3 linked regions of the Rattus norvegicus genome follow. The protein of the gene in region 2 interacts with the protein of the main gene of each other region in a biochemical or structural test. Links are inferred from orthologs where the notes say so. Each region holds a gene or a part of one and is shown on either strand. Other genes may lie near its edges.

Region 1 (10,669 bases), on a different chromosome or scaffold from region 2:
TCAGAGCGATGCAGAAACAGAGGAATGCCCTTTTCCTGGCCCTTTGCAGAGGACCAGGATCCCCACTGTTTCTACCCTAAATTATTCAACTGGAGCAGGGAGAAGGAGCTGAACTGACTAGGACTTAATTTAACTCTGGTAATGAGAAGTCAAAGGCCTCTCTTTTGTTTCCCTAAATTCCTACAAACATACCCTTTGGAAAGCTCCTTCTGTCCTTAACTGAAGGGGTCTCCCACCTCTAAGCCCAGTGATGTCTTCTTCCCACCTTTTCTTCCTTTTGTTTCTTTCTTTCTTTTTAAGACAACAAAGTCTCATTTGTCCCAGGCTGGCCGGAAACTTCCTCTGTAACCGAGCATGACCTTGAACTTGTGTTCCTTTAGCCTCTACTAGAGAGCTAGGATCACTGGTGTGTTCGTCACCTCTCCCACCACACCCTGACTCCAGCAGGGAATCACACCCAAGGTTTCCTGCACTCCAGGCAAGCCCTCTGCCATCTGAACCACATCTCCAGCTAAGATCATTCCTTTCACTGAGCCACCAAACGAGGCTTTCTCCTTGAAGAACCAACCCCTGCTGCAAACTTCAGTTCCACAGGACAGATCGTACTCTGGCTGGTTCTGGAGGATGGTGGAGGAGCTAGCACAGAAAAAGACAAGAGATCCATGACTCAGTAAATGCCGAGAGGAGAGATATCAGAACACTTTCACAGGCGGGCCCGCTTCAAAACTCTTGTAGTTCATCTCATTGCCAACTCCCCTTCCCTAACACAATACTGGGATTCTGAACTTGAAAGAAGGGGAAGGAAGGATGAAGGTTAACAGCCCCTTAACACTGAAGCATCCCACCACACCTTATATGTCCAGAGTGGTCACTAAATTATTTCAAGGTAGGACCTATTATTGTTATGAAATCCAGCTCGAAAAAAAGAAAAAGGAAAAAGGAGAGAGAGAGAGAGAAAGAGAGAGAGAGAGAGGAGAGCTTTAATCCCAACATTTGAGGGACAGATCTCTGTGAGTTTGAGGCCAGCCTGGTCTATATAGTGAGCTCTAGGACAGCCAGGACTACATAGTGGGACCCCTGTCGGGAGGTGGGGGGGGGAAGCCACTAAACTCAAAGCCCTGTTTGAAAGGAGACCTTGTATGTATGGATTGGATTTGGTTCAAAAGGAGAAAGAGGCCTGCCAGTACTGAAGACACTCCGGGGTATCATGAAGCAAAAGGTGGGAATGAGTCTCTGAGAGTGGAAACCTTTCTCCACAGGGTTGAGGCTCTGACACTCTACAACAGGTGAGCAAAGCCAAGAAGATCCAGAAGTCCCAAACCAAATTCTTTTTCATCTGGCTATTCCTTTCATCCAGTTTCTGCATGGCATGTGTCATCCAGATGGGAGAGGGTGCTGCTTCCTTGTTAACATTAAGTAAGAATGGAGAGCAGTCGCCATCTCGCTGCCATCACTTGGCTCTGGGCCCCCACGGTTTAGACACCTCCAGTTGCCACCTCTGACTTTCATCAGTCTACCCCCAGCCCCATCTCAAAGTAAAACAAAAGGACGGAATAGGAAATAAGATAGAAAGGCCGTAATGTATCTTTAAAATAATGACTCATTTTATTTTCTTTTAATACGTAGTTATAAATATATTTGTCAAAATATATGATCAATATGGTCAAAACATTTGCACGTAAAGTCATAAATAAGGTCAAGGTGGGTGTTTAGGGTTGGTTTTTTTTTTTTCCTTTTCTGTCTTTCTTTTTCTTTCTTTCTTTTTTTCTTTTTTTTAAGATAAAAGTCCAGCTATAGGGAAGCAGTTTGTGTGGTATGTGTGGGTGGTCGGATGGGCTTTGTGTGTGTGTGTGTGTGTGTGTGTGTGTGTGTGTGTGTGTGTGCATCCGTCCTCCGGACTGCCTGATTTCAGCGGCATCCGCACCCCTCCACCACCATCTCCTGATAATTTTTCAACACCACCTTGTCGTACTCGTCCAGATACAACATGGAAATGGCGCTCAGTTCGGTGGGGACACAGCAGGCCTTAGGGATGCTAGAATTAACGGAGTTGACCAGGGTCTGCACAATGGCATGATTGGTTGAGTTGAGGTGGTCCGCCAGTGGAAAGGGACAGTCCCCGTGGCAGTAGAAGGCCTGGTAGCCCGGTGGGGCCACGATCCAATCATTCCAGCCCACGTCACTGAAGTCCACGTAGAGCGAATGGCGACGGCAGTTCTTATTCTTCTTCCTGGAGCGCTGTGGGTGATGCTTGGGACTACGCTTGGCCCTCCGGCGGGTCAAGGTATGACCCCGGCCATCGTGGCCAAAAGTGACCAGGAGGGGCCGGAGTTGGGCCCAATTTCCACTCCCTTGAGGTAACGATCGGCTAATCCTGACATGTTGGCCCTGGTGGGTCCGTGTCTGGTGGAGGTGAGTCACCTCAATGGCCAGCCCATAGTTGGGTTGCTTTTCCCGGGTCCATCGAAGGACTGCAGGGCTCACATCGAAAGTTTCCCACCGTGTCACATTGTGATGGACTAGTCTGGTGTCCAGTAGTCGTGTGATGAGGTGTCCAGGCACCATTTCTGCTGGGGGCTTCATAACCTCATAAATGTTTATACGGTGGAAGCCCTGTTCCCAGTCAGGGCCCTGGTCCACCTGCTCCCGAAATAGCCGGAGCTCTGCAGAGGAGATCACCTCATTCTCTGGGATGCTGCTGAGGTTAAAGAAGAAACGAAAAGCAGAGCTCTCACTGGTCCCTGGGATGTTCTCCAGATGTTCTAGGCACAGTTGAAAAGGGAAAAGAAAAGGCCCATGAGCTTTTCTGAGACAAAAAAGAAAAAAGAAAAACAAAAAACAAACAAACAAACAAAATAGGGGAATTGGTTGAACTCTGCTTGTAGTGGAAACCTAAGGGGAGGAAATTACTGTGCCTTTTAATGGGAAGGCAGAGAAACGGGGCAGCCAGCAAACCAGCAGAACTCAGCTCACATTTGTCAAGCACCAAAGACAGAAAGTATCTCCCGAGCTCCTTTATATGCCTAATAATTTCCATGTGTCAACTCTTTTACTCCACCACCCTCGGACTCCCCTTTGAAAGCCCCCCTCTTGGCTTTGTGTACAGTTTTCTTTACAAGTGGTTGTAAAGAAAAAGAGGGGCCACCCTCTCTCTCTCTCTCCCTCTCCACTTTCGAGTATGTTACCAAACATTTCCCCAGCGATCCTGGAAACACAGAGCATGCCTTGTTGATCATGTTACAGAAGGGAAAATAAATTCCAACACAGTAATGATGCTGGAGGATTAATAACTCAGATTTACTTTGGAAAAGAAACATCCGCTAGGAAACATTCAGATCGTATTACAAGGCCCCTATTGAATAAATCTGACAAACACACAGCTGTAATATTAAATTCAGTAGGTGCTTTGAACAAAACGGGCAGAAACCCCGGCTTTGATATGGCTAAAGCACACCGCTGGGGCTAGCCCACGTCTGAGTGGTGTCACTCCGCTCCTCCTCAACATCGCCCCCCCTCCCCCATCACCACCACCACTGGTCTCCAGAAAGTACCTTCAGAGGCTGCGCTCTGGAAAGTTGAAGGTAAGTGGCCCTGTTCCACAGCCTCCAGGACTTGGAGCTTTGATGTAACCTGAACTCTTCTTCCCCAAGGGCTTCCACAGCCCCTTCAGCTTGCCCTGCCAGCTACCCCCCCCCCGCCCCCCTCCGCCGGGGCCCGGGCGCTCCACCCCACCCTACGCCGCCAGGACTAAGAGCAGAAACTGACCTTCGTGATGGAAACTCCTCACAGTGTTGGCTCTGCTGGCAGGACGCTCAGGGTACTCAAGCCCGGTTCCCTGGCTCTGCTCTTCTTCCTCCTCCTCCCCAGACTGGAGCCGGTAAAGATCCCTCATGTAATCCGGGATGACGGCGCTCTTGCTCGGCTGCGGACGGCGGCGCAGCCCAAACATCTGCAGAAGTGTCGCCTCGAAGTCCCGCAGGAGCTCATGGCTCTGCCCTGAGCGGCGTCCTCCCGCGTGGCCCTGAATCTCGGCGACTTTTTTCTTCCCGGTCTCAGGTATCAAACTAGCATGGCTCGCGCCTCCTAGCAGGACTTGGCATAATAAAACGACCATCAGCATTCGGTTACCAGGAATCATGGTGTCTCTGGGGAAGGGGAGGGGGTGGAAGGTTAAAGAATAAATAAATACCGATCAATAGCGAGAAATAGAGATGTCTCTGCATATGCATATAGGGATAGCAACCGACGGCCAAGATGTAAAACAGGTCCGAAAGATCAAGTTTGTGTTTTCTCCCTCACACCCTCCCCACACACACACACCAGCTGCAGCCATGCACGGCCCGAAAGTAAGAATCGCCCTGTAATTACTTGGTCTAACTTGTTTACACTCAAATAACCCCAAATCAGATAGCCTCCATCCTGTCCCAACGGCTATCTGAGCCATGATCTCAGCGTGGCTTCTTCAAGGATAAACAGTTAACATTGAGGGGGTAAAAGGGGGGTGGGGGAGGGAGAATTAAAATGGCATCGCTCTTCACTTCGGACCTTCAGCCTCCCCCTCTTCCTCCACCACAACCCCCCGCCCTTCCTCCTCCCTCCAGCCCAATTTCCACAACTTCCAGCTGGTTAAGAACAGGAGGAGGGGAGAACAGAGCAGCGACGACCGGGCTTGGACCAGGCAGCAAGGTCCAGTGGCTGGGAAAAAAAGTCAGGGGGGTTGCCCCAGTGACTTTGTGATTTATTTCATTGTGGTCGCTGCGTTGAAAATGTTCAGGAAAAAGTCTTGTTCCCAGGGAAGGGTAGGGGTGATTCCGAAGCGAACACGGGTAATTTTTTTTTTTTTTTTGACATGAGGCAAAGAACTGGCCTTCCCAGGCTAGTGGGACCGGACTGGGAAGGGAGTGGTTAGCCCTCAAGGGACAGCCCGGACCTGCGGACCTTTCATCTCTTTGGTCCTTCGCGTTCCCCACTTTCTTGCAACGCAGCGGATCAGAGAAGACAGTGGGAGCGCTTTAGAAGGACCCCGTACGCTTCGAGCGTCTGGCCTTCAGGGGCCAGGAAAGAGAGCGACAGCGCTGCCTGAGAGTGGGGCGCGGACATTGGAATGGAAGTCCGACGGGAGGGACAGACAGCGATCAGGGGTGGGAAGACAGAATGAAATCCCAAGAGGGGGAAAGAAGAGGTGTCTACTCACTGACAGAAAACAAGGCATATAATAACAGTCCATGATTCTTGGGAGCCAATCTTGAACAAACTTGCTGGAAAGGCTCAGAGAAGCTGCGGCAGTGCGTCGCTCGGAATGGCACTACGGAATGGCTCCTAAAATGAATATTTGAATATAATGAGACTCTGGAGCAGACAGGCTCTGTTTTTCTTCCAGCCCCTAGGAGTCACGTGGACCCAGAGGCCCCGCCCCACTCACCGAAGAGCCCGCCCGCCCCTCCTCCATCCTCCCACCCCGGCTGGGTCCAGCCCCTGCGAGCGAGGCCAACCTCCGCGCCCGCAGCTGGAGCCCCAGCCGTCTGGGAGTTGTCCCCGCCTGCTCGGAGGAGCTCTCGGCGGGACACCAGCCGCTGGCGGGGTTCTCCGTCGTAGTCACTGCACGCAGGGGACGTGGGGCACGTCTCTACCTGCGGCGCGCAGTGCAATGCATCTGGCCAGGTTCGGGGACCGGTTATCTGAAGGTTGAGGGATCAGGGTGCACTTGAAGACGCTTCTCTTTACAGCGCCGACACGGCTTAAGTGCAGCCGAGAGGGCGACCGAAAAGACAGTTCCTTCAAAGCCTCACGACCGAGAGTTACGAGAAAAGGAAAACGCGTAGGGACCCTCCAAGAGCGCGCGCACACACAGGCAAACACACTCGCACACTCCGGCACTTCCTCCACAGGGTCTCCGAGAGGCCAAATAATGCTTCCAGCGACAGGCGCCGACCCCTAGCGGATCTAACTCCCAGCCAGAAGACTCTGACCCCGTCGCCAACTCAGTCTGCCGCGGGGGTGTCAGGGTGTGAGCGGTGTGGGAAAGTCAGAAGGAGCGGCTTCTGAAGCACTGTCTAGTAGCCCCGCCAGAGTCCCCGCACCGTGTCTGCCAACCGCAGCGTCCGCTCCAGCCAAGCAGATCCTTCAGAAACCGGTCGGCGGTGCCATTCAAGGCGGAGGGGGTGGACGTCTGGGTTCCTAGCTCCAGACAGATTCCAAAACAGGCGTCGCCGAAGAGAGAGCGCGCATCACATTTTTTTTTTTTCAGATCTCAGAGTCGCAAAGGCTTTACAACTCCGACCCGGCGCGGAAAGGAAACCCCAGCGCGATCCCAAGCGTCTACAAACCCGAGAACAGCTTTCGGCCTGCACTCGACCTCTCCCTCCGGCTTGGCTTACTTTTTAAACCACCCCCACCCCCACCACCCCCCACCCCCGCGCGCGCCACTTCCTTCCCCCCACCCCTTTCCTCCTTTGCACCAGCTACAGAATCGCAGCAAAGATTCCTCCAAGAAATTCACCAACACACAACTCAGGCAATGACGGGGGCGGGGGCGGGGGGTGACCTGACTATCCCAAGATGCCACACACGTGGGCCTGTTCTAACCTCAGGAAGCGCAACTCTTCTGTTCAAGGAGGTCGTTGCGCGGGGTCCATCCGAGGAGGACCCGAGTCCCGGGACTCCCGCTCCAGAGCCCGCTCCACCCGGCCTCTTTGCCTCACTTAGGAACTCGACGTGTCCGGCTGCTTTCCAGCCTCACCGCCCCCCGCCCCAGTTTTCGGGACGGGGAAAGCTTTCGGGAAACCTTTGAGAAAGAAGTGTAAAGGATGGAGAGTCATGTCCTTCCTGGCGGTGGTGGCTGCCAAGCACCAGCCCACACCGCTGGCCTGGGTGCAGAGACCGCGGGCGCCCCTGAGCGACAATCCGCTCTCACCACCAGCCGCGCAGGTTTCCGAGACAATTTCTCCTTTCCCCGACCAGCGTCGCCGCTGGGAATAACTGGGAAAGCCCTGGAAAGGGCAAAGGGCTTCTTGTTGATGTGTTTATTTGTTTTTAAGGGGAAAGGAGATGGAGATGTGCTAGTGACTGGCGCACGCGGAGCGAGGGCAGAGTGGAACGGGCAGACGCTCGGGGTCCCGGGACAATCCTGTGCCCTTGGGAGTCTGGCGGTGTGGGGAGCGCTCTCGACGTTAAAACCCAGTAAAGAGGCGAAGGAGTTGTTTCAATTACAAGTTCACAAGGACCCCCCTCTAATCACTCTTTTCTTCCCTGATTTTTTTAAATTAAAAAAAAAACAAATTCAAGTTAATTTTCATCTCCTAGTACTCTTTTTTTCTTAATGGGGTTGGTACAGCTCCTGGCGGCAGTTACCCTTCACTTTCTTCCCATAATCTTCTCCCAAAGCCAAAACTTAATATTAGCCTCAGTTTACTGAATATGGCCCTGTTAGCGATTCAACATCTCACAAAACCTTCAGCTCATAAAACGAGATATTCAAAAACTATCAGCCAAAGCCGTGGCGGGAAACTTTCCGAGTCCCGGGGGGTCCAACTACGCTGCGTTTTTGTAAGGACCCCGCAATCCCCGAACCCTTTGGGGCATCGTGAGCCAAGAAAGCTCCTCATTAGACCTGCCGGCTCGTCCCCACCGACACAACACAGCAGAAGACCCGCACAGGTAGCCTTCGGGCATCCTGGCCAGGGCCCGTCGAACCTTACACCCCCTCCCGGGGAGGGGGGGGTTGGAAGGGAGGCTGAAGGCAGAATGCATGGGTGCCCATGTCTAAAAAAATAACTCGTGGAGATTGGAGCGAGTTCTGTAGCTACAGTTCGCTAGCTCTCCGGGGAGGGGGGCGCGTTGGAGATGAGATTAGGTGACACCCCGCTCAAGGAAGCCCCTGTATCCCAGGTCGCGCTTTAGAGCCAAGCAAGACTACATCTTTTTTGCAAAGCTAGCTCTGGCTAGGTTTTCTCTCCCGGTGTCGCAGTCCCTCCGTACCCCTCTCGTGTTGAAACTGAGTTGACTCCCTCCTCTCCCACTCTTTTAGTCTAGGGGGAAATCAAACCCACCAAACCCCACGATTCTTCCCAATGACCTCCATCCAAGGCCTTCTCTCCTTCCCGCCTCTCCTGGCCGGCATCTCCCTGAAAGTAGGTTGGATGGACGTAGTAATACATATGGAGGTGCCTTTCAGCCCCATCATCCCACCTCCAACACTACTGTTGGAGAAGGAAGGAGGAATAGGCCAACTTTTGCCACACTTACAGCCTGAGCCCATCCCAGCTATGGTTGCACCTCGAACCCTCAAACGAGCGCCCCTTGCCAGGATGCCATACTCACCATAGGTTCCTGCAGAAGCGGGCTCGCCCGCAGCTGCTCCTGGGGACCTCTAGACAGCTGCAGTGAACCTGGTCGAGGGCCAGAGACTGGATCGCTGCAGGCTCCAGACGGTTTGGACGAGAATCCCATTAGGGACGGAGACCAGATACTCAGACTGGGTAGCAGCGGCGTCTTAGACTAGGGTCCCTCAGCTCGGATGCCGAACTCACCTAGCTTCCGGGCCAGGCCTCGCGCTCCTGCCTTCCCACCCTCCAGCACCACCCTCTCTCATCTACTCCTTCCTTCTCTTTTCCCTCCCTCTCTTTCTTCCCTTCCTCCCCAGTCTTTCCCCAGCGGCCCCTCCTTTCTTCCCTCCTCCCTTAATCGCCTCCCCTTCTGGGGATGGGAGCCCCGCCCACATCCTCCCATCCAGCCACGGGGCCTCGCCTCGCCTCGCCTCGCCTGGCAGGCCCGGGTCCGGAAGCCTGCACAGCGCCCCAGTCCTCAGTTGCCACCTTGGCTGGGACACCGATGCCTCCAGCTCGGGAAGCAGCCAGGGCTCACCTGGGGACCACGTGCAAGAGGTACTAGAAAGCGTGCACCAACTAGTCTCTGTTCCTTCCAAAAATACCCATGGGAGTCTGGGCTTCCCTGAGTTTAGAGTAACTGCTGCCCAAACTGATGATTAAAACACTGAGTAATCACCATTTACCCCGAGTAATTAGAGATAATGAAACACCTCTAAAATCAGGTTATGGAGAAGGGAGCTGTTGGATTGGTTTAAAGGGTGGCCTTCCGTAAACTGTTAAAGGATTCCCAAACGTTGAGAAACAGGCTGCGAACAGGGCTGTGTGCCCGAAGGAGATACCTCTTCAACTATTAGGAGGTGACTTTCCCCCCAAGAAAACATTCTTTAAAGATGTTTCTTGTGGAAACCCTTGGTGCTGACACTGAGAATCGCACCCCCTTAAACTGGATGCCCTCCATCAGTTCCCCAGGTCTAACTTCTCAAAAAGCACAAGGCGATTTGCAGGCACTTGGCAGGCAAGCAGGCCCAGGCCTTGTAAGACAATTAGAAAAGCATATTTATAACTCCGAAGCCTTCTTAACTGTCAGGTGGTTATTTTTGTTTGTTGGTTAGTTTGTTTGGGACCTTCCGGGAAGGTGACCAAGAGAAGCAAGTGCTTTTTAGGCAAAGTAGAGAGGAGAAAAAAAAAAAAGTGCCTATTGGTCCCTTTTTAAAAGAAGGGAGAAGAGGAATTGATTCTTTCATAATAATAGCAACAACTGTTGGTAATTGTACTATCTGATGGGAGGTGGAATGTGGCCCGCTTTTAAACCTTCCCAAATGGGAGCTAATTTCACTCACTGCCTCGCAAGGCGATGGCAAGGCGCTGTGAAGGAACTATCAGCTTCATCTTTGTTTTGACAAACAAGGATGGGGAGGGAGAGCCAGGCTAAGAGCCCTTGCCCAAAGCACTGAAGGAAATCACAGCTTCTGCTAAATAAAGCTAAAGCTTCAGGGTAGGGGTGAGGCCAGCAGCCCTGAGCTCCAGGTAACTCCCAAAGGGCTGGAAGATAGCAATTTCCGGTTCTTGGTTTCTGTTCTCTGAGGTGGGTGTTATATTCCCTTGTCACTACAAAGCAGATCTTGACCTAGTGCAGCTCATCTGACCTTTGCACTTACACACCTTCAGAATTAAAAAAAAAAAAAAAAAAAAAACAGGAACCAGTTCCTGTATTCTACCGGCCAGAGACAAAGGGTGAGGAGGAATGTCAGGTTGGAAGGACTGTTAGAGCTAAGCACAACATCCTGACCTTCCCCAGCCTGGAGCGCACGTATGCCCCTGGCCAAGTCCTTTCATTCCAATGGGTACCACCTCTCTCATCCACTGAACAGAAAGATCAGGTCAGGGCTCCCGGATCCCTTTCAGTTAGAAGAGGACTCCACTGGTCCACTGTAACTTTAGTGAAGTTACAATCTACCTTCTTTCATTCGAAATCGTTTTCTAAGTATACCTTCTCTTTTAATCTCTGATTAATCAAGGTAAGGCGAAAACACCAGCCAGGAAAGATGACGGAGAAACGTACCCACGGCTTCTAACACAGCCAAAATTACAATTAATTATTTAAAACAACAACACAAAATTAAAACGCCATTACATTACATTACTCTTATTACATTACTCCTGGGGCATCGGGCTCTGTGCTCCCAGAGCAGGTTGAAGGACAGATCCAGTGCTCAATGAGGCCACTGCGTCAGCCATGTGTTCCTTAATCTTTAAACTCACAGACATCGGAGATTCCTTGTCCTTGGAGGCATGACTTTTGCTTTAATGAATTTCGTTGGGGGTGGGGAGAGGGTTTGTTT
Region 2 (9,905 bases):
TACATCTCTGTTCCTACTTGTGAGTGTCTTTATTACTCTCTGCTACAAGAGAAAGACTGCTCACCAAGCAGGCCCACTTCTGCTCTTACAAAGGAAACTGTGGTGAGCCTTGCCTACTGTCTAGGACCCGAATGTGAGGCACTCTGCGTGCCCTCTGGCTGATGGTCACTGCAGACAGTGCTGTCATGCTGTATCCGCCTTCTTCTGAGAGGCTGGAGTTGGGGTACACACTAGCAGAGCCAACAGACATGGCAGGCACACCGAGCTTCCCTGACGACAACACTTCACCCTGTCACAGCTGGCTGAGGGAAGGGAGAAACCAAGCATGCTCTCTCTCCCTGAAGAGACTGAAGAGAGCTGTTGGAAACCTGCATTTTCTGAGGACTGCTCTTGGCATCTTTCCCCTTAGACAACTATGTGCATAATTCTGATGAAACCAGAGGGTTTGAGAGTGGTCCTGGGAAACCCTGACATAGGTGACATATAAATTAGGTAATTATTTTTTAATCGACAAGTAAACGAATACAGTTAGAAACACTGTTCAAATCCCTACCTCCTGTAATACAGCGACGGGCCATCTCCCAAATGATCAAACCAAAGCTGTAGATGTCAGCCATGATGTAGGGCTGGAAATGGTTTTTACTCAGGCTCTCGTCCAGCACTTCTGGAGCCATGTACCGCCTGGTGCCCACCCTGGTGTTCAAGGGTATGTCAACTTCATTTGTGTCACTAAGACAGGAGGAAGACAGCGGTCAAGTAGAGGACCAAACAACACTTCATCTCTGTACATCCTTATAAATATTTTTCTGTCGAGGACATGTAAATTCTTATACTCTTTACTATCAACTCTTGAAGGCAGATGTGTTAGAAGTCGAGTCCTTTACAGATTTAATGTTATGTAATGTTATGAGTCCTTTATAGAATTAATGTTACATAATGCTGATATTACATAGCATCCCAAGCAGGAGCTGGGACAGTCATTCTGACGTTGGAACCATGTCTGCCACAGATCGCTGACCAACCTTTCACACTAAACTGGATTACTACAAACACCTTTCGTAGATTCAGCTGAGACCTGTCACCAAAGCAGCTGTTTTTATCAGAGGTAACACCAGTGAGGCCCGGCTGGTGTAGCGCTCGTCTGTATAGACACAGGAGGCCCAAGTTCCACCCCCAGCACCACCTAAGTCCAGTGTGGTGAGTCATTTTTGTCACCTTAACACTAAGCTCTGAAGAGGTAAGGGCAGGATGACCAGAATTTCAAGGTCATCCTTGGCTAAATGTCTCGTTCCAGTCCAGCCTGGGCTACATATGCCCCTATCTTAAAAAAAAGAAAAAAAAAAAAAAAAGCATGACAATATTTTTTATATAAGACAAGTACAAGAACAGGTAATTATATCTGAGAAGTTGAGTATAAAAATAAAAGAAAAATAATTTATTTTCAACATTTTTATATAACAAGTTTAACATTAAAATGCAGAATTGAAATTTATTTCTCATGGATCCAATTTATTTATATTAGAAACAAAGTAATATCTACATAGTCAGTAATAAATGACTTTTTACTTTTCTGGGGTTTGCACTGAATTTTAGACTTGAAGACATAAATGTTTTGTTACTGCGACTGGAAAGTTCTAGAAACCACTTTCCAGTGGAACCAGTACAAGGTATTGTATTTTGTTATAAAACATCTCTGATGGTTAATTTTCATTGTCATCTTGACTAGATTTGGAAGCAACCAGGGATGGGGGTGGGGCAGGGGTGGAGGTGTGCTGTTTCTGAGGGCATTTCCAGAGAAATTCAGTAGAGGAAGGACAGATCTCCTTGAATGAGGTGATACTATCCTGTGGGCTTCAATTCCTGAATAAAAATGTTAAAAGGAGAAACAAGAGAACCCCCACTTCACATTCAACTCTCTCTGCTTTTTTACTACAGCACAATGTGACCTCATACTCCCCCAATAATGTTTCCCCTATCCTGATGGACTACACCCTGAGAACATGAGCAAAATAAGTTCTTTCCTTCCTTAAAAGTTGCTTTTGTTAGGCTGGCACCATAGTTTAGCCATTAAAGGCTAAAGACAAAAGGTGCTTTTGTCATATTTTGTCACAGCAACATGAAACAATGTATGAAGCTGGTTCTTAAGGGAAGGCTCACTGGTAAGAATACTTGTTACACAGGCAGGAGGCCCTGAGTTTAATCCCTAGCCCTCAAGCTGGGTGTGCCATCAGTAACATCCGTGCCATGGAGGTACGAGAGAGAAAAGGTTCCTTGGGGCTTCCAGCCACCTGGCTAGTTCCTAGTTTAGTGAGAGACCCTTTCTCAAGGGAATACTAGAATGATAAAAACAGGATTTTGGAGGTCCTCCTGTAGTTTCTGCATGTGCAACAGTCAATAGCACACAGAAAGGAGGGGTGGGGCTGTTGCTACAATACAGCTGACGATATGGTTGCTATGCCTTTAGTTGCTATGGGGACAACGTGGAAGCGTCTAGACTGACGTGCCAGGGGAGCCTGCAGACTTACGGAGCTTCCTCATGGGAGTGGGAAGACCAGAATGCTGAGAGAAAGGTACACAGCGGAGGCCTGGCTCATGAAGTTACAGAGAAACTTAGGCAAGAGGCTACTTGTATTCTATCTTGGCAAGAATCAGGCTGCATGCTCACAGGAGTCCTGAAAACTCACGTGAGGATGAATTAAAAACAATGGAGTAGGGACTGGAAAAGATAGTTTAGCAGTTAAATGTACTTGATACATTTCCAGTGGACCTGGGTGCAATTTCTAGCACCTATACAGTGGCTTACTACCTACCACCTGTAATTCCCGTTCCAGTCATCTTCTGACCTCTGGAGAACTGCTTGAATGTGGAATATAGACATCTATGCATGCAATATATACATAAACATAAAAATAAAACCAGGAGTCGTGGTGCATACTTTTAATCCCAGCAGTTGGGGGGCAGAGGTGGGGGATATAAATTTGAGACCAGCCTGATGGTCTACAGAGTCAATTCCAGGACAGTCAGGGCTACCCAGAGAAACTCTGACTTGAAAAACAAAACACCCCCATATATAGACACATGTACGTGTACACACACACACACACACACACACACACACACACACACACACACCCCAAACAACAACTAACTAAACTTGCTTTTTAAAAAAGATTTATTTGTTATGGCAATCAGCTTTTGTAGGAAATAGGTAGGACACTGGCAGGAAGGGGAGGATTCTGGGAAATAGAGAACAAAAGGAGACTAAAGAGAGGCACAAGAAGGATTTGAACTAGACACTGAGAGCGCCATGAAGAAAGACGCAGGCTGGGACTGAAAGAGAGGTAACTAATCAAGTGGTAGACACAGCACAGTTTGAATAGACTAAATAAGTTAGTCAGGGAATGAGCCTAAGGTTATAGCCTAAGCATTGAATAATAAATAATTAATCTCAGAGTTGTCAATCTGGGAGCCAGGGCTGGGAAAGAAAATCTTAGAATTTATAACAACTTCCCCTCAAAACAACAAAAAGAACACTGCTAATGACCAAGAAGATGCCCCATACAATTTTAATTACTACTGCTGCTGCTACAAAAGAAAAAAAGAGAGAAAGAAGAAAAAAAAGAAAGAAAGAAAAGAAAAAAAAAAGCCAGGTGTGGTGGCACAAGAGAACCTCTGTGAGTTCAAGGTCAACTTGGTCCACAGAGTTCCAGATCAGCCTAGTGACAAAGTGAGTCCTTGCCTCAAAATGAACAACAACAAAACAATTACTTATTCATTCTCTATGTGCATGTATGTGCACCCGCATGAGGCCACATGTTCCAAGTGACTGCAGGTCTGTGAAGGCCGGATGCCCTGGAGTTGGAATTATAGGTAGTTTTGAGAAGCTTGATGTGAGTGCTAGGAACTGACCCCAGGTCCTTGTAAGAGCTTAAGTAAGTGCTCTTAACTGTTAAGTCATCTCTCTAGTCCCTCCACTAGTAAGTAAACTAGTATTTTTACTTTTTGGCTTTAAATGAATTCTGAAATGTGAAACAACTGCTTCAACAGTTCCTTGAAATTTTTATAGTTCTAATTGTTTTGGAAAACTAACAACATCGAAAGAAAGTGCCTAATTATCTTCCCCTATTTTCACACACAATACCATTCTGAAGCACTATTTTACAATATGCCATAAGTAACTATGTGGAAACTCTCCAGGAGCCTCCCTTATCTAGAAATCTATTATGAATAAAAATTGATGAGGCTTGCCCACCTGGCATAGCTGTAGCCATTTTGTCCCATGCCTGCCAGCTATTTCACAATGTTGCTATAACACGCCTGCCCATCATTGACACAGAGAAATAACCTGACTCGAGCAGGGTCGTGCTGACCACAGACCCTGTTATGCTCTGCATGTTATGAGGTTTGTTAATCTTAAGAGATTCCAGGGAGGCTGGAAAGACGGCTCAGTAGTTAAGAAAACTGCTCTTCCAAAGGACCCAGGTTCAAATCCCAGCACCCACCTGGCAATTTGTAACTGTCTGTAACTCCAGTTCTAAAGGATCTGAAAGTCTCATACCAGCACACATAAAATAAAATTAAATAAATTATCTTAAAAAAAAAAAAAGGAAATTCCACAACCATAGCTTCACTTAGGACCCATCAAATTCAAGGCTAATATGAATTGCTTTGTCTAAAATACCTTGAGTCAAGGCACCTGCACATGAGCTCACTGTAGTTTTAACCTCTAAGCTAGTCCTGGGAAAGGTTTGGGGTACTTAGCTTTAGCTCCCAAACTGTGATCGATCAATCTTGTGGTGTGTGCTCAATAAACTATCCCTGTCTGACTGAGATCAGTGTTGATGCATGTGGTTTGTGGGAGGACTCCTGAACCCCAACAAAAAAAATTTTTTTTTAAAAAACATTTTTTTTCGGGGTTGGGGATTTAGCTCAGTGGTAGAGCACTTGCCTAGCAAGCACAAGGCCCTGGGTTCGGTCCCCAGCTCCGAAAAAAAGAAAAAAAAAAAGAAAAAAAACTTTTTTTTCAAAGATTTATTTATTCATTTATTATATATATGAGTACACCGTAGCTGTCTTCAGACACACCAGAAGAGGGCATCGGATCTCTTTACAGATGGTTGTGAGCCACCATGTGGTTGCTGGGAATTGAACTCAGGACCTCTGGAAGAGCAGTCGGGTGCTCTTAATCGCTGATCTATCTCTCCAGCCCCCAACAAAAATATTTATGCAAGTGTTCAAGAATAGACTTATATGCATAAAATTCAATAATGTTCGTAATACCCATTTTTGTTGTGGTGTTTTGCTTTGTGTTTTGAGACAGAGTTTCTTTGTATAGCCCTGGCTGTCCTGGAACCCAGAGATTCACCTGTTTCTGCCTCCCAAGTCCTAGGACTAAAGGTGCGTCCCACCACTCCCAGCTTCATAACCTTTTTAGAAACACAGAGGAACTGGAAGCAAACCTAACGCCCATTATTTAGGTTACTTTATATTTAACATGGACAACTATATTTGCAAAAAGAGCAAGTAAAGGTAAAGTGAAATAAAAGCATCTTATTTAAATAAAGCATCTTATGGCTTAAAAAAGGAAGTCAACAATCACGCAGAGGCTGGGAGGCCATTTAGCCGCAGAGGGTGTGCTTAGCACTCGTGAGACCTCAGGTTCAATCCATAACAATCCCCAGAGAAGTACAGTCACATGCAGCTTTGTAAAAAGAAAAAGAAACAACCAAACCTGAGGATAAATACCTGACAGATATTAAAAGAATTTCCAAAGAATCATTTACCTGTTGAATTTAACAGCTAGGCCCAGGTCAGCAATACAGCAACTACCATTTTTCTTAATAAGGATGTTTTTGCTCTTCAGGTCTCGATGAGCAATTGCAGGCTTGCCTTGCGTGCCATAAATTTCTGTGTGGAGGTGGCACAGACCACAGGCAGCAGAATAAGCTAACTTGAGTAGGGCTCTGGTGTCCAGGGTGGCACATTTCAGGAAGTCATAGAGAGACCCATTCTCATGGTAATCAGTAATCAAATACAGCTGAGTCCAGGAACCGGTGCCTTTAATGTCTGCAGCTATAAAACCTGTTTAGTTAGAGAGTTCAGAGGTTAGCTGTGTGCAGAGACACCAGGCAGTTACTGATCAGGACACTGGGAATGAACTGCTACTATGTACACAAAGTACTATCCTAACCTGGCTGGCAAAATGTTTTGAGAGTATCACCAAGGACTCATTTCCTATGATTTATACACATCACTACAGTTTTACAATAAATGTACAGTATTTTTAATTTGTGTGTGAGTGTGTATGTGTGAGTGAGTGAGTGTGTGTGTGTGTGTGAGTGAAGGAGATCAGAGGGCTGTTGAATCCCTTAGAGCTGGAGCTGCAGGCGGCTGTGAGCTGTCTAACGTGGGTGTTAGGAATCACACTCAGGCTCAGGCCTTCTGCGAGGACAGTATGTGTTCTTAGTCACTGGGCCATCTTTCAGGTCTAGATTTACAGTATTTTTAAACACAGGGTTTTGCTATGTAGTCCAGGCTATATTCAAACGTGTGGTCATCCCCACTCAGCCTCTTGAGTGCTGGGATTGATTACAGGCATGTGCTACCACATACAGCTAACATGACAACCCTGACATTGATCACAGCAGTGATAATAATATGACTAAGAAAAACCATATATTTATTATACGATATCCTGCAAGTGCTATTTGCCTACATGACTCTCTCTTGAAAAGGTTCTTTACCAGGGAGTGGTGGCACAAGTTTGTGATCCCAGTACTCAGGAGACAGAGGCAGGAAGACTGAACGAGTTAAGGCTGCCAGAGCTACAGAGGAAGACTATTTAATGGCCAGGAAAAGAACAAAAAACCCTACCCCTGAACCCCCAAAATAAAAGCTCTCAATTTCAAGTTGAAAAATAGATATTTTAAGTTACACTGGAAAAAGGGTCTTTGTAGATAAAATTACATTTCCATGAAGCCATGCATGAGAAGACTGTGTGCAAATCCCCGCATCAGTGTCCCTCTGTATGACGTGGTCAGAAAGACTCTATGAAGTACTGAGAGGAGGGCTGTCTGTAAGTCCAAGGACACTAATGACCCCTTCAGTCAGGAAGGAACCTGCAGAGAGGCCATGGTCCTGCCAACAGCTTCATTTTAAAGTTCTGGATCCTAAAGCTGAGGGGATGGTCAGTCGCTCCCCTTTTTTTATGTGTGCACAGGTAACACGTACACATAAGAGTGTGAGTAGATGTGGAGGTCAGGGATGACCTGAGGGGTCATTCCTCTCCTGCTTACAACTCTTGAGACCCGAGTGTTTCACTGGCCTGGAACCCTGCCAGGTAGGCTAGGCTATTGGTCAGAGTTCCAGGAGTCTAAACAGAATCTCCACCGTCCATATCTTACCATCAAACTTCACTCTTTAAATACATTCTACACTCAGGTTCCAACCAACTAGTCAACCCCTTCAACAGTAAACCATCTCCCCCCAACACCCTCCTCTATTTTTTTTTTCTGTGTAGCAATGGCTATCCTGGAACTCACTCTGTAGACCAGGTTATCTCTGAACTCAGAGATCCACCTGAGTGCTAGGATTGAAGGTGTGTACCATCACACTCACCCATACTTCTGATGTTTTAAACCACTCAGCTTGGGCTGGAGAGATGGCTCAGCAGTTAAGAGCACTGACTGCTCTTCCAGAGGTCATAAGTTCAGTTCCCAGCAACCACATGGTGGCTCACAACCATCTATGAGATTTGATGCCCTCTTCTGGTGTGTTTGAAGATAGCTACCGTGCACTCATATACATAAAATAAATAAATCTTAAAAAAAAAACAAAAACAGAAACAAAACCGCTCAGCTTATGACAATTTTTTTATAGTAGCCACAGGAAATGAACATAAATGTCTGTACATGGCAATGGGCAATGCACTTTACAAATTAAAAGATGAGAATTCCAGAATCTCCAGTCTCTTAGCAACAGAACTATAGAACTCCCACAGACATTTGCAGGATAGCATCCATATCTGCCAGAAGTGGGGACAAGAAGGACATCTGGTCATCTCAAGCTTCCACCTCCTTAAGTGGAGGGCAGAAAGCCTAATTATGCCGATCTGAAGAAATCCTGACCTGAATCAGCACAGAACTTGCAGATGAAGCACTGTTTACTGCTCGCTCCCATATGAATCCTATGCTCAACAAGGAAAAGCAGGCAAAAGACCAAGGCACTCAGATATCTGGATATGTGTTCTTCACCAAGACCCGAAGCACTGACACCCGCTCTGACAGAAATCAAACCCAAACCAAGGCACACCTTCTGCCATCTCTTTGTGAAAAGGGAGCATTCCCCAACAGCCTGACAACTGGAGGATAAGCTCAAGTCCTTCCCTAGTACTGCGCTCTCCCGGCCTCTCAGCCTCTCCCACTATACCCCTCAGTAAAAACCTCAAAGCCCCTCTTCTGCAACTGGCTAAGCCTCCCATCTTGGGAAGAACTCCTGGTCATATGCAAAGTCACCTTTGAAACCAAGGAAATCTTCTGGAACTGTTGCAGGACCCTCCACCCTCCATGGAAAAACACTACTGAGAAGAAATGGTTTTAATAAAGAACCAGGGATCCTCCCCACTGCATCCCCGCTCCCCGAAAAAAGAGAGAGATAATGAAGTAGCAGCTGAAAAGAAAACTCAGAAAAGCTAGATCTGTCCCCATTCTAACGATTAGATAGCACTTCACCACTCTATAATGAGGTGGTGGTGAGAGGAAGATGTATTAGGTATAAAAACACAATAAAGTCACACACTGGAAATAAAAAAGGTCAGAACTGGGTTTTTCTAATGACGAAAGGGAAAAGGTCGACGCAGTTAAAGCTACCCTAGAAAAGCACTGAAGTTCTCTGCCAAACACTTGGCTCCCATTAGTCCACAAGTCCAGTAAAGCAGCCTTTTCCGTCCTTCTAAAGCTCAATGTTGTTTAGAGCAGGAAGATGCTTTCTCGGCATCCAGGAAAGAGTTCTAGTTCACTGTGAACTCTACTAGATTGCCTTTAGCTACATAAACATTTGAATCCATATGCACATGGCAGGCTCTCCTGTGCACCCTGAGAACCTTGCCAGAATGAGGAACTTGTAGGATACTCACCAAGTATATTTTCATGACGCATTAACACCGTCTGGTAGATTTCTGTTTCTCTAAACCAGCTAGCTTCTTCAGTGGTAAAAAACACTTTGACAGCCACTTTTTCACCACGCCATTTACCCATCCATACTTCTCCATACCGGCCCTTACCAACCTGCCGAACCATCTGAATCTGTTTGGCAATAGTTCGCTGAACCTATACAGAAACAAAAACAGAGTTTATGAAAAGAACCCTTTAAGGTCATCCCATTAGAAAGCCTGGCATATCCAAACAGCCCCAGTGTGTACAGCATGCAAAAGCAGCAGTGAACACGCACTCTGGTTAGCCGGCCACCCTGGGAGCTCTCCTTGCCCACACTCTTGGGCCTTGGACTACAGAGTAGTAAATGTACAACAAGTAGTCCTCACGGACGCTGTGTATCTTAACCTGCCTATCTTTCTGCTCTCATGAAGCACCGCGCCAACTGTCAACCCCATGAACTGGGATATAGTTTATCAATTGCTGCACAAGTCTCGAAAACAAACTTTCTAACAGACTCATAATTATGAGAAATAATAAATGTTTTTGGCTTCAAGCCACTGAGTTAAAGGTGATTTACTATGCAACGAAATCTAAATGATAATTAAAATCCTTCAACTCAGCCTCCAAGATCCTAGCTGATCTGACACCGCCCCAGTTTTCACTACTTACCTACACTCTCCTTATTCTAACAATTTTAAGAATTTGATTCTTTATACAGTATATTTTGATCATTCCTTTCCCTCCCCAAATTCC
Region 3 (10,393 bases), on a different chromosome or scaffold from region 2:
TCGGGCTCCGTGCACTCCTGACATCCCCCAAATCATAAACAGCCCATTCTGGAGGAGGCGGGGGGGGGGCGGTTCCCAGCCCAGCCCTGGCGTTCATCTGTACCGCCATTGCACTTGGGGGTCGAGCGATTTTTCACCCGGGGGAGGTTAACCGTGAAATATCTGTTCCACATTAAGAAATACCAAGTCACATTTTTTGTCAAATAGTATTTGTCAAATGCCGTTTGCTGCAAAACCCGGGGAATTCAATCCCAGCTGAGCACACAGCTAATACCGACCGGCTCACATAATCGCCCCGGCGGTGCATGCGAGCTTACAGTGCAAGCCATCCTGCCTCTGTAAACACTTGCAGGGACTAGGAAGGAGAGTTCTGGAATAAATAAAGCACGTGCCCCGAGTTGCCCCCGGCACAAAGAACCCCGCATGCTGGCGGAGCCCCTAGATGGTTTTGCAAGAATGTTCTAGGGGGCGAGTTGGTGAATCTCAGCTTTTCCGACTGCCTATGCGGAAAAAGCGGGCTTCTTTGTTAAAAGTCCAAGGTCACCAACGCGGTCTCTAAACACACACCCTTCGCGGCGTCCCAGCATCGGGGTCCAAGTCCTAGGCGTCACCGATGTCCCTCTTCCCCACTGACATCATCCCTCCCAATCCCATGTTGATCTGGGATCCATCAAGCCTGGGTCATTGGAGTGTGTGAAGCTAAAAGTGTTATCAGTTTCTATGTAAATATTGGTGTTTCCTCACCCCACGGAGGCGAGGGGAGGCAAAACAGCATGGGCGCGTTTGACTTAAACTAATTAAAAACAGAGCGCTGTGCAATTCAATATATTGATTTTACCAGTGGGACTTAAATCTTTTATAATAAGTGTACACAGCTGCGGTTCCCTCCCACCACCTTGCTCTCCCGCTAATCCCTGAGTGCATTCCTTCTGACAATAACAAGACAGATCCTATACATCCCTGCCTGCGCCCTGACCCCAGAGACGCGGCGGAGCGCGCGAAGGCAAGCCGTGCAGTCTCCAGCCACATCCCCTGTGTGTCCACGGGCCGCAGCCGTGGCCGCGGAGCGCCAGACCGCTGCTGGGAGGAAAGTGTTCTCCAATCCACAGCTACACGGAGGGGCAGGGCGGGAAGGGTGGGGAAGGCAGCCGGAGGACACTGTGAGACTCGATGAGGGCCAAATATGACCTTAGCAAGTGGGGTGGGCGAGATATGAAAGCGGCGGGGTCATCAATCAACCTCCACGGGACTCTGCCTGGGATGAAGTCATCACTTGTCCCCCGGTTCAGCAGGCCTATGACATGTGCTCACGGGCGTCCGCCCCGCTGTGCTCATCCAGGCAAAAGCTTGCAGGCTGCCACCAGTCGCGGCTTAGGTAGGGCCCCAACCCAGTTCTCTGGAGCTGGGTCTCTGAGGGTCTCACTTTCTTCTCTCCACGCAGGAAAACAATCCACCGGTCTCCTCCGAGCCACCTCCCACCTTTCAAGGGAACCCGAATCCGCCCTGGGATAAAACCCCAAAGCAGCCATCTGAGCTGCCATTCCGGGCCCCAGCCTTAGCCTGCCTTGACTGCAGAAGGGAAATACACACAAAAGATCCAAAACAGTTCAAATCTGGGTCACATAATATCCTTGGGAAAAGGGGAGGGGGGAATCTTTGATTTATAGATCCAGGAAAATGAGGTTTAAAAGTGACTTTGAAAGGGTTCCTGAAAACACAGCTGTGGGTACACCCCTATGGTGAAGTTGATCTAGAGAGAGAGGGAGGGAGGGAGGAGGGAGGGGGAGAGGGAGGGAGAGGGGAGAGAAGGTGAAGGGGAAATACATGTGACATCTCTATTAACCTTCTGCTGCTAACCAAAAGGGTTGGAATGTGAGGGAGCCCCTTCCAAATTCTAAGGCGGGCCAGTTTACAGCTGCAGGCTCCGCAGCCACTCTCTGTGGCGCACTCCCCAAAGGATGCCTTTAAATTGTAACAGGACCTTTCCTTCCCCTTCCCCAGTGGCCTGATCTGTTCGGAGGGTTAAAGGAGAGATCTTAGCGCCAAACACTTGTCTCCAAAAGGGACAGCCAGATGGGGGGTAAAGTGAAAAAACAAACTGCTAGGCCTCACCTCTGCTTACCAGAACAAGTTAACAAAAGCCACTTCTCTGTGCTGGCTACAGTAATGACGGGGTCCGAGCAGGCTCCCTTTTCTAACTTAGCTTCGAAGATTAAACAAATTTCATTCCTTCCCAACCTGGCCCAGGAGATAAACAGCAGTCACATACACCCTCTCCAAGCCGGTTGGCTTTCTAGAAAGATTCTGAACAGGGCTTTTGGCTTCCCGAAGAAAGAATAGCTGGGGTTAATAATAGCTAGGCCAGGTCTCTGCAGGATCAACTTTGCCTGGGGACTGTTTGAGAGAGTGTGGCCTGTTTTGAATTCCAAAATGAAGTCTACCCAGAGGAGTAGGGGGCTTGTTAATCCAAACCAGTTTACAGATCTTGTCATTGAACTTCGGGGCCAGAGCCAGGAGGATGGGTGTCCCACGCTAGCCGGCTTTCCCAGGGACTTTATGGTTCAGGCTGGTCTTTGTCATCTGGGGCAGTCAAGTCCTCACACGCAGCACCTGGTTTTGCTGTAAATTTTCCTCTGGTGTGGATCCCACTAGGCCTGGCAGACTGCTCGAATTCCAGGGAGAACAACTTACAAGAACAAAAACCAGTTTGGCTGCAGACAGGAGGAGAGAGGCAGTGGATCTGCAAAAGCCTTCAGGGTTGAGGCAGGGGGTCCCCCAAGCAGGCAGGCCTGAGGGAGAATGGCGGAGGTGTGTGGGCAGAGGTGTGTGTGGAAGGCAGCCAGGGGGTCCGGTCTCTGGCACCAACACCAAATGCTCTAAGGGTGACAAGGGGTGGTTTGACAGGAACCAGGACCTTTTCTCATTCGGGGAGCAAAGGGTAAGCGTGAACCTGGCATTCTAAAACTTGTCTATTTCTGACCAGACTACGCTTTCTCAGCAGCCTCAGTGTGGGGATGAGTCTCTGGGGGTCGCTACACCCTTCTTCAACCCAGCTGCCATCCCCAGGTCATAGCAGCAGGAGCAGGAGGCCTATGCCTGTGCTGTGGCCCAGCAGAGATTAAAGATGCACCTACAGGAAGCTCTTAGCAGCTACAGTCTGGGGCTTCCCCTAATTACCTCTAGCTTAGCGAGAGAAGGAGAGAGAGAAAACAAGACCCTATCCCTGGGTCCTGTTAAAAGCCACCCTGCTATCTAATTAGGAGTGATGGTCCAGAAAGCCATGCCTGAGAAAGGACAGTCCCACAAAAGCCCACGGCCAGCCCCACTGATTAAGAGGCTCAGACAAGCCAGGCTTTGTCCTGTCAACATGAAAGAAAGAACGGACTGAAAGAAAGGTGTGTGTGCAGCCAGAGGAAGCCACCCAGCTGTGGCCTCCCCAGCAAGCCCCAGCTTGTACCCGAGGGAGGCCGGGGCTTGGGGGTGGGGAGCAACCGCCCCTGCCAGGTTCCCAGCAGGGCCCTGGGAGCTGCCCTGGAAGCCACCTGGCCCTTTGGGATGAGGGAAGCCAGCTGGGGCCACACGGCCAGACCTGAAACACAGAGACTGGCACCAAAGTCTGGGATTATCTGTTGCAGCTCGATGGACCAGCTCTGAACTGTCAGCTAGGACCCACTCACTGGCTTCCTGGAGATCACACCGGAGAACAGAAGAGGCCATAAGCCCTGACCCTCACCCAGGGCCTTGTTATGCCTGCCTTCAGGATAGGTTCGCAGATCCACGTTGACCACATACTGCTAAGTCTCTATTGAGGAGTCGACTTTAGTTTTTGGTAATAAATCCACATTTTTTTTAAAAAAATGGACGCAGTGAAAGGCGGCCTCCCTCTCCCAGCACACCAAGCCCTACCCCCAGGAAAAATCTCTTTGCAATTGGCCTTTCCTACCTTCAGGGTTTGGAGGCTATCCCAAAGCAGGACCTCTTCTTAACAAGTGTCTGAGGAGAATTTGAATTTGCTCTGTAATATTTTGTCAGCTCTATCACAGGCCTTTACACCCTGACCCTTGCTTGATTCATTATTTGACACTTTTTGATCTTAAATGGAAACAGACAATGGTCTCCCAGAAGCTCCAAGGCCTTTATCTGGAGCTGAGAGGATTAACGTGGACCCTTTCTTCCCGGAGATCCCTTCAGAGCCCCAGGTGCCCAGTGAGAGAGAAAAGGGGGGGGGGGTGGCCTTAAGCTTCATTATTTCCAGGTTGACGGGCGCCCATGGTGTGTTTGGTGTCTTGACTTGGGGTTTTCTCAGCAACTTCCACAAGCAGAAGAAAAGTGACTCAGGAAACAGCACTATCAGGGTGTGTTATCACCAAAGCCAAATATTTGATGGCCAGCCCCACAGCGCACGGTTGGGGGTTAGTTTGAGCAAGTTAGATACTTGTGCGCGCACAGATGCAGGGGGAGCTGTCTCAGACCAGCCGTAACCCAGCCTCGCATCCCTTGGTTGGCTGGAACTACAGTATGGAAACGGTTTCCCCAGCCATTCCATGGCGGCCTCTGTTCCGAGGTCCCCAGCCACCCAATCGCCAAAACCCGTGGTTTGCGCGCCACACGTGATAAACGCTGAAAATGGATTCTGCCCGCCCGGGACCTATCATTAAATATTTAAAATAGAAAACTCGCAATGGCAACGTTCTTTCCCCGGCTCCAGCCGAGAGTCCAAAGGTGGGCGACTGGCGGCTAGGAGAGGAGCCCCGCGACACTCCGAGCGCGCGCCGAGAAGGCGCACCGCAAAGGGACAGGTAGGGCTGGCCAGAGAGGGCAAGGAAAGGGGATGTGCGAGATGCCAGAGCCAAGCTGGGCTCAAAGGGGCGGAGGAAAGGCGGGAAGGCAGCTTTACTCTCAAGGGCCCTTTAAATCCAGGTAGCGCGGGCCGCTGAAGCCGGTTCAGCTCACATGACCCAGCCGGGCGCTTTGAACTAAGCCGCTGCCGGGCCGGGACCTCCCGCCCCTGAGTGAGATGAACGCGCGGCGGAGCAGGCAAAGAGACTCAGGGCAGGTCCTTCCCTCTCGGTACCCCCCACAAACCCTCCGAGCCGGCAAGACTCAAAGACTCACAGAGCTTAAAGTTTACCAAGACCCGGGGGCAAGAGTCTCTGGCCGGCACTGATGCTTTGCAAATGGGAAGGTGGACCACAGTGGTTGAAAGCAGGCACCCTCTCCCTGTCCCAAAGTAGCCCTGGTCTGAGATATATCACCTCCTACCGCCACTCACCTAGGTTGACGAAGCTCATGACCATGTCGGCGTCGGTGAGGAAGTGGCTGTCCTGCAGGCTGGCCAAAGGGGGACCCTGGGTACTGAAGACGGCCTTGTAGGGGTAGGAGAAGCCCTGTCCGTCCGGCCCACTCTCCTCCACCGCCATGGCGTTGTACAGGTCCAACATGAACATGGGCGCCGAATTATGTTTTCCCTGGAGGTGCGGGCGCGGACGATGGGGCAAGCCCAAGATGGACAGGATTTCCCGCTGCATCTCCCGCCGCTCCTGACTGCGGAGGCGCCGGTGGATGAAACTGGAGTGCACCTCGTTGTCCAGGCTGAAGTCGGCCAAGGCAGAGCGCAGCAAGAACAGAGGCGCCCAGAGCGCCACGAAGCTGTGTGGCGCCGCAGCGCGCAGCGAGCGCACGTGCATCGCGCCGGCTCTACGCGCGATCCGGGGCACCGGGCCCGCGCCGCCCCAGGTGGCAGCGGAGGGGGCAGGGCAGCGGTCCACGACCCGAGGTCACTTGCTGCAGACGAGCTTCACCGTGGCCTCGCCACTCATGGCCACTCCCTGGCCCGCTGCGCTCTGCCCGAGACGCCCCAGTCCTCTACTCAGTTCTGGCCCGGGGCCCCTCGGCCCGCACTCGCCAGGACGCACCGCAAGGCTAGCACAGCAACTCCAGAGAGAGAGCAAGAGAGCGAGGAGGCGGGCCGGGGTGGGAGGAGCAGCAGTTTGCAGACCTTCAAGTCCGGAGAGCGAGTGCCGGGGAGGCAGCAGGGCGCTGGGCGAACCCTCGCTCCCTCCTCCCACTCTGCTCGCGCTCGGGCCCGCGGGCACCAGCGGGAAAAAAAAACCCTTCCGATCTCCCGCGCCCCAAACAAGGACCCCAGGTCGCTTCTCCAGTCCTGCGCGCCCCAGATCGCCCGCCAGCCGCCTCGGGAGCCCCGGAATGGGGCGCGCTGGGGCCGAGGAGTGGGGGGAGGAGCAGGAGGACCGACTTCCCCGCCCCTCCCGCTCCCGCGGCCTCCCACCTGCGCCTGTCCCCGCCCTCCCCAAGCCTGGCCCAATGGCTTCATTCATTCCTCCCAGGGCGCTCTACAAATATTTACCGAGTGCCCACCGGGTGTCCGGCACTGGGACGGACGCCTCAGGGGCGCAGAGAGAGGAATCCGAGGCTGCAGCCCTCTAGAGACTCGCACTTGGAAGTGGCCAAAGTGTAGCAACTATAGGCTGTGCTAGGAAAGCATCCCGGAGGGAGCGCAGGAATCCGAGAAGGCTCCTCGGAGGTGGCCACTCTTGGACAAGGCTCATCTTTCGAACCTCCCGAACACTTCATTTGCTCCAGTCAAGCAGAAACACCCGCCCACCCCCGCCCGTACTCCCACCGCCTGCCAGCTTCGGCTGCCCTGGCTTTTGCTCCTCAGGGAAAGTTCTCTCCCTGCCCCTCCCCCTCGGGTGCCACTTCCTCTGGTAACCTTCCAGGACCGAAGATAAAGTGGAGATAAAGTTGTTTCCTCCTACAGACGTTACTTTTATTTTCTGCACTTCACTCCCCAACACACACAAACACACACACACACACACACACACACACACACACACACACACACACACACTGTCATCGTCGTCCTCCTCCTCCTCCACCTACCCCTACTCCTCTTCCCTCATCCTCCTCCCTCCTCCTCCTCAGGTTCAGCACCCAAGGGATCCGGTACAGGTACTTCGAGGCTTTTTTTTCCCCTAGTATTTTTGAACTGCGGATCCCCAGATGTTGCAGCTCTGCAGAGTTCATAAGTGAAATCTGGGACTAGAGAGTGCTCCCACCCCCTCCTCTTGGGGGGGTCCACCCACCCCTTATCCTGGCACAAGGGGCCAAAGCCTTACTGTCTAACAACCCTACCCCCAGCCCCAGGTAGGGCCTGAGGAGTAGGGAGTTGGGCATTGTACCCAAGTTCAGGACAACCCCCCCCCCACACACCCACACTGAATTTTCCTGTCGCAAAGGACTAGCCTCCCTCTCTTCACAGAAAGAAAGGACCCAGACAGATGCTGGAGCTCTCAGTGGATAGCTGCTCTTTAGAGCCTCGGTTTCCATTTCTGAAAAATGGGAGCAAAACAGCATTCACTCAGAATGGCAGTGAGCTGTGGGGTGGTAAGCCAGGCCTCCCTGCTCTGCTGAAGGCGGGCTCCAAGAATATCCATGGGAGTCTGAATTAAAGAGTGGCAAGAGGGGCTTGGGAAGGACCTTGAGTAGAGGGCTCCATCTTGAAGTCCTAGGGTGAAATGGGACAGCCTGGTCTTCCGGGCTTCTGGAAACAGAGATAGCTACCCTAGGGCTCTCTGGGCTCCTTGGGAGGATTTTAGACCATGTGGCTGCCTGAGGGGCCGCAGGGATGGCCCCAAAAGAGACCTGCAGGTCATAGTCCAGGCTGTGGACACCAACAGTACTGTGTCCCCTGCCAGCACAGCTCTGAGAGGCCCCTCCCTGGACCTGCTGTGGCTTGTGAGCTGAGGCCACTCAGGCTGTGAGCTGGAGACATGACCTCCAGTGACCAAGTTACAGTTCTTAATATTGAATAAACAAAGGGGCCCTGCCCTTACTTCGGAAGGCTGTGTGTGGCCTTCTGTGGCCAGCAGGAGTGCCACACATAGGCCAGGCAGGAGGACATCAGAGTGATCAAGCCAGTGTGGCGACCTCCATGACTAGCTGGTTCTCAGGCCCCCGGAAACATCAAGGAGGTCTGGGACAGAAGCATGGCAGTCTTTCCCGTTTCTTCTCTCTGAGAAGCATCAGAGCTCAGGTGGAGGAGGCAGCCAAGAAGGCAGAGATCGGACGCCTTGCTGGGCTTGGGTAGGGGAGGGACATGTGACCCATGGGCGGCCATGACAGGAGAACCACTGTAGTCTCTGTCCGTAAAACAGCACCCTGGGTCACTGCAGTCCCCAGAGAGACTGGGCTTCACAGATGAAATGACAAGCGGGACAGACAGCTTCAGAAGGAAGGACTTTCCTGAAAAGGTTATCAAGAAGAGCCCAGCCAGCAGGTTCCCCCAAAGCAGAATCAAGAGCTACACCAGCCCTGCCCAAGGTCTCTGCCAAAGAAGTCTCTACAGGTTATCTCTTCTAAAGTCTAGACTGACATCAGGTTAAGGTGTGCGGCTCACAGAAGCCTCCTAGTTCAAATCCACCCTCCATCTTTTGGAGCATCTCCCTAGCAAGCAAGGTGGGGGTATCCTGAAGGGAGGTGCAGGTCTGTGTGCTGCTACTTTGCACATGGAAAATACTCATTTGTCACGGGTTCTTCTTGGGTCCTCTACCAAAGACCCATCTCCTAGTGTGTTTCCTACTGGGCTCTCCCCTCCCCTTCTTCCCAACACACACACACACACACAGAGAGAGAGAGAGAGAGAGAGAGAGAGAGAGAGAGAGAGAGAGAGAGAGAGCAGATATCCCCTCACCAAGTACCTATTGGGCGAATGGCAATCAGGCAAACCAAACCTAAAAGGCCAATGTCTGAGGGGCGGACCATGAAAGGCCAACCTCTTCCTTCCCAGGCCCCTCTCCCAGGTCCCCACCTCCCAGAGGCCACCTCTTCTCATTCCTGAGGCTCCAGAGATAAGATTCCCTCTGAACTCCTACCACCCCAATTATCTCTCAGCCAAACCCTGGGGGAGGGAGGTCTCTTCTGCGCTTCCTCCCAGAGGAGTCCCCAAGACCTCACCCAGCTGTTTCCTGAGTGATAGAGCAGACAAGCAGGACAGATTCACCCCTGGAGCACCCAGAGAAGGCTTTGAGGATGCTTGGAGACAACCTGATGGGAAGGAAATGATAGCCTGGATCCTGGGAACCTGGGGCTCCACACTCAGAGCTTCCAGCTGTACATAGTGAAAGTAGAATTGGCGGGCTCCTGCCTTAGTTTTCCTGCCTGTAAAATGGGAGACTGGGATCATCCCATGGTTGCTTGAGGATCCAGGTTCCCCGGGTACAGAGGCTATCCTTGGTAAATGCTAGTTACCATCTGATTAAGACAGAAAACCCACCAAGAAGAAGCTCCTGGGAGTTAAAATGAATTAAATTTCCCACAGCAGCCTGAACAGAGACAGGAGCAAGATAGCCCAGAACAAACAGCCATGGCCTGAGAGGAAAGGAGGACCCCACCCCCCCCACCCTTTGGTCCAGGGACTTCCTGAGTAGCCAGGCCCTGACCCACATCAGCCCCAGCCCCAACAGGTTCCCCACCCCTTCTCGGCCAGGGCACCCAGCACAAGCTCCAGAGTGTAATGTGATCCCCCCAGGCCGCTCCACACCTGGGGTGTCATTGTGTCTGGAAGCTGCTCTCCTGCGGGCCTCCCTGCGCTGGGCAAGGCATTTTCGTCTGGAACACCACCTCTTCATATCCTGCAGAGGCGATTTTGACCCCAGCCGCTCATGTCTCCAAGGCAATAAAAAAGAAAAGAATTCTGCTGACTTACACATTTCGGAGCAAGGTGGGACCTCATCTTCGACTGCAAAGTCTCATTCCATCAGTGTGGGGAGTGCGAGCCCAGCCATGGTGCCCTGCACCCAGGGGTACAGGCAGTTTCCTCTGGCCCCACCCAACCTAGTCAAGGCCTGATGACCTAGATCTCAGACTCTTGGTCAAAAGCAAGGTCTCCCCACCCTCCTACCCTCCATCAAACCTGGGGTCCAAGACACAACTGCCCCCCACACACACACAGAGACACACACTCCTGTGTGCCTAGGACACCATCCCATATGGTAACTTACTTCAGCACACTGGCCGTGCCTTTCTTCCAAGCAAACGTTTCCCTACAGCAGCCTCTAAAACATTCTTTGCAGACTTTTTAAAAAAAATTAATTTATCTATCATATACACACCAGAAGAAGGCATCAGATCCCATTACAGATGGTCCTGAGCCACCATGTGGTTGGGATTCGAACTCAGGACCTCTGGAAGAGCAGCCAGTGCTTTTTTTTTTTTTTTTTTGGTTCTTTTTTTTTTTTCGGAGCTGGGGATCGAACCCAGGGCCTTGCGCTTCCTAGGCAAGCGCTCTACCACTGAGCTAAATCCCCAACCCCGCAGCCAGTGCTCTTAACCACTGAGCCACCTCTCCAGCCCCACTCCTTGCAGACTT

Evidence for each region.
Region 1: the proteins of Bmpr1a (region 2) and Bmp4 form a complex in vitro, tested with the Homo sapiens proteins (3 studies listed by BioGRID and IntAct, with this or other methods). The link is inferred for Rattus norvegicus from reciprocal best matches to the Homo sapiens genes BMPR1A and BMP4.
Region 3: the proteins of Bmpr1a (region 2) and Bmp7 form a complex in vitro, tested with the Homo sapiens proteins (2 studies listed by BioGRID). The link is inferred for Rattus norvegicus from reciprocal best matches to the Homo sapiens genes BMPR1A and BMP7.

The regions. Positions count from the first base shown.
Region 1 is NC_086033.1:22,096,609-22,107,277, forward strand, and holds Bmp4 (bone morphogenetic protein 4 precursor), read right to left. Parts: upstream 5,326-10,669; 5' UTR 5,320-5,325; coding exon of another isoform or gene 5,195-5,319; intron 4,146-5,194; 5' UTR 4,139-4,145; coding exon 3,766-4,138; intron 2,763-3,765; coding exon 1,909-2,762; 3' UTR 1,739-1,908; downstream 1-1,738.
Region 2 is NC_086034.1:9,744,917-9,754,821, forward strand, and holds part of Bmpr1a (bone morphogenetic protein receptor type-1A precursor), read right to left. Parts: intron 9,327-9,905; coding exon 9,134-9,326; intron 8,719-9,133; exon of another isoform or gene 7,975-8,718; intron 7,026-7,974; exon of another isoform or gene 6,981-7,025; intron 6,082-6,980; coding exon 5,784-6,081; intron 730-5,783; coding exon 554-729; intron 1-553. UniProt on the Homo sapiens protein: On ligand binding, forms a receptor complex consisting of two type II and two type I transmembrane serine/threonine kinases.
Region 3 is NC_086021.1:182,129,036-182,139,428, forward strand, and holds the start of Bmp7 (bone morphogenetic protein 7 precursor), read right to left. Parts: upstream 6,112-10,393; 5' UTR 5,688-6,111; coding exon 5,273-5,687; intron 1-5,272. UniProt on the Homo sapiens protein: Growth factor of the TGF-beta superfamily that plays important role in various biological processes, including embryogenesis, hematopoiesis, neurogenesis and skeletal morphogenesis.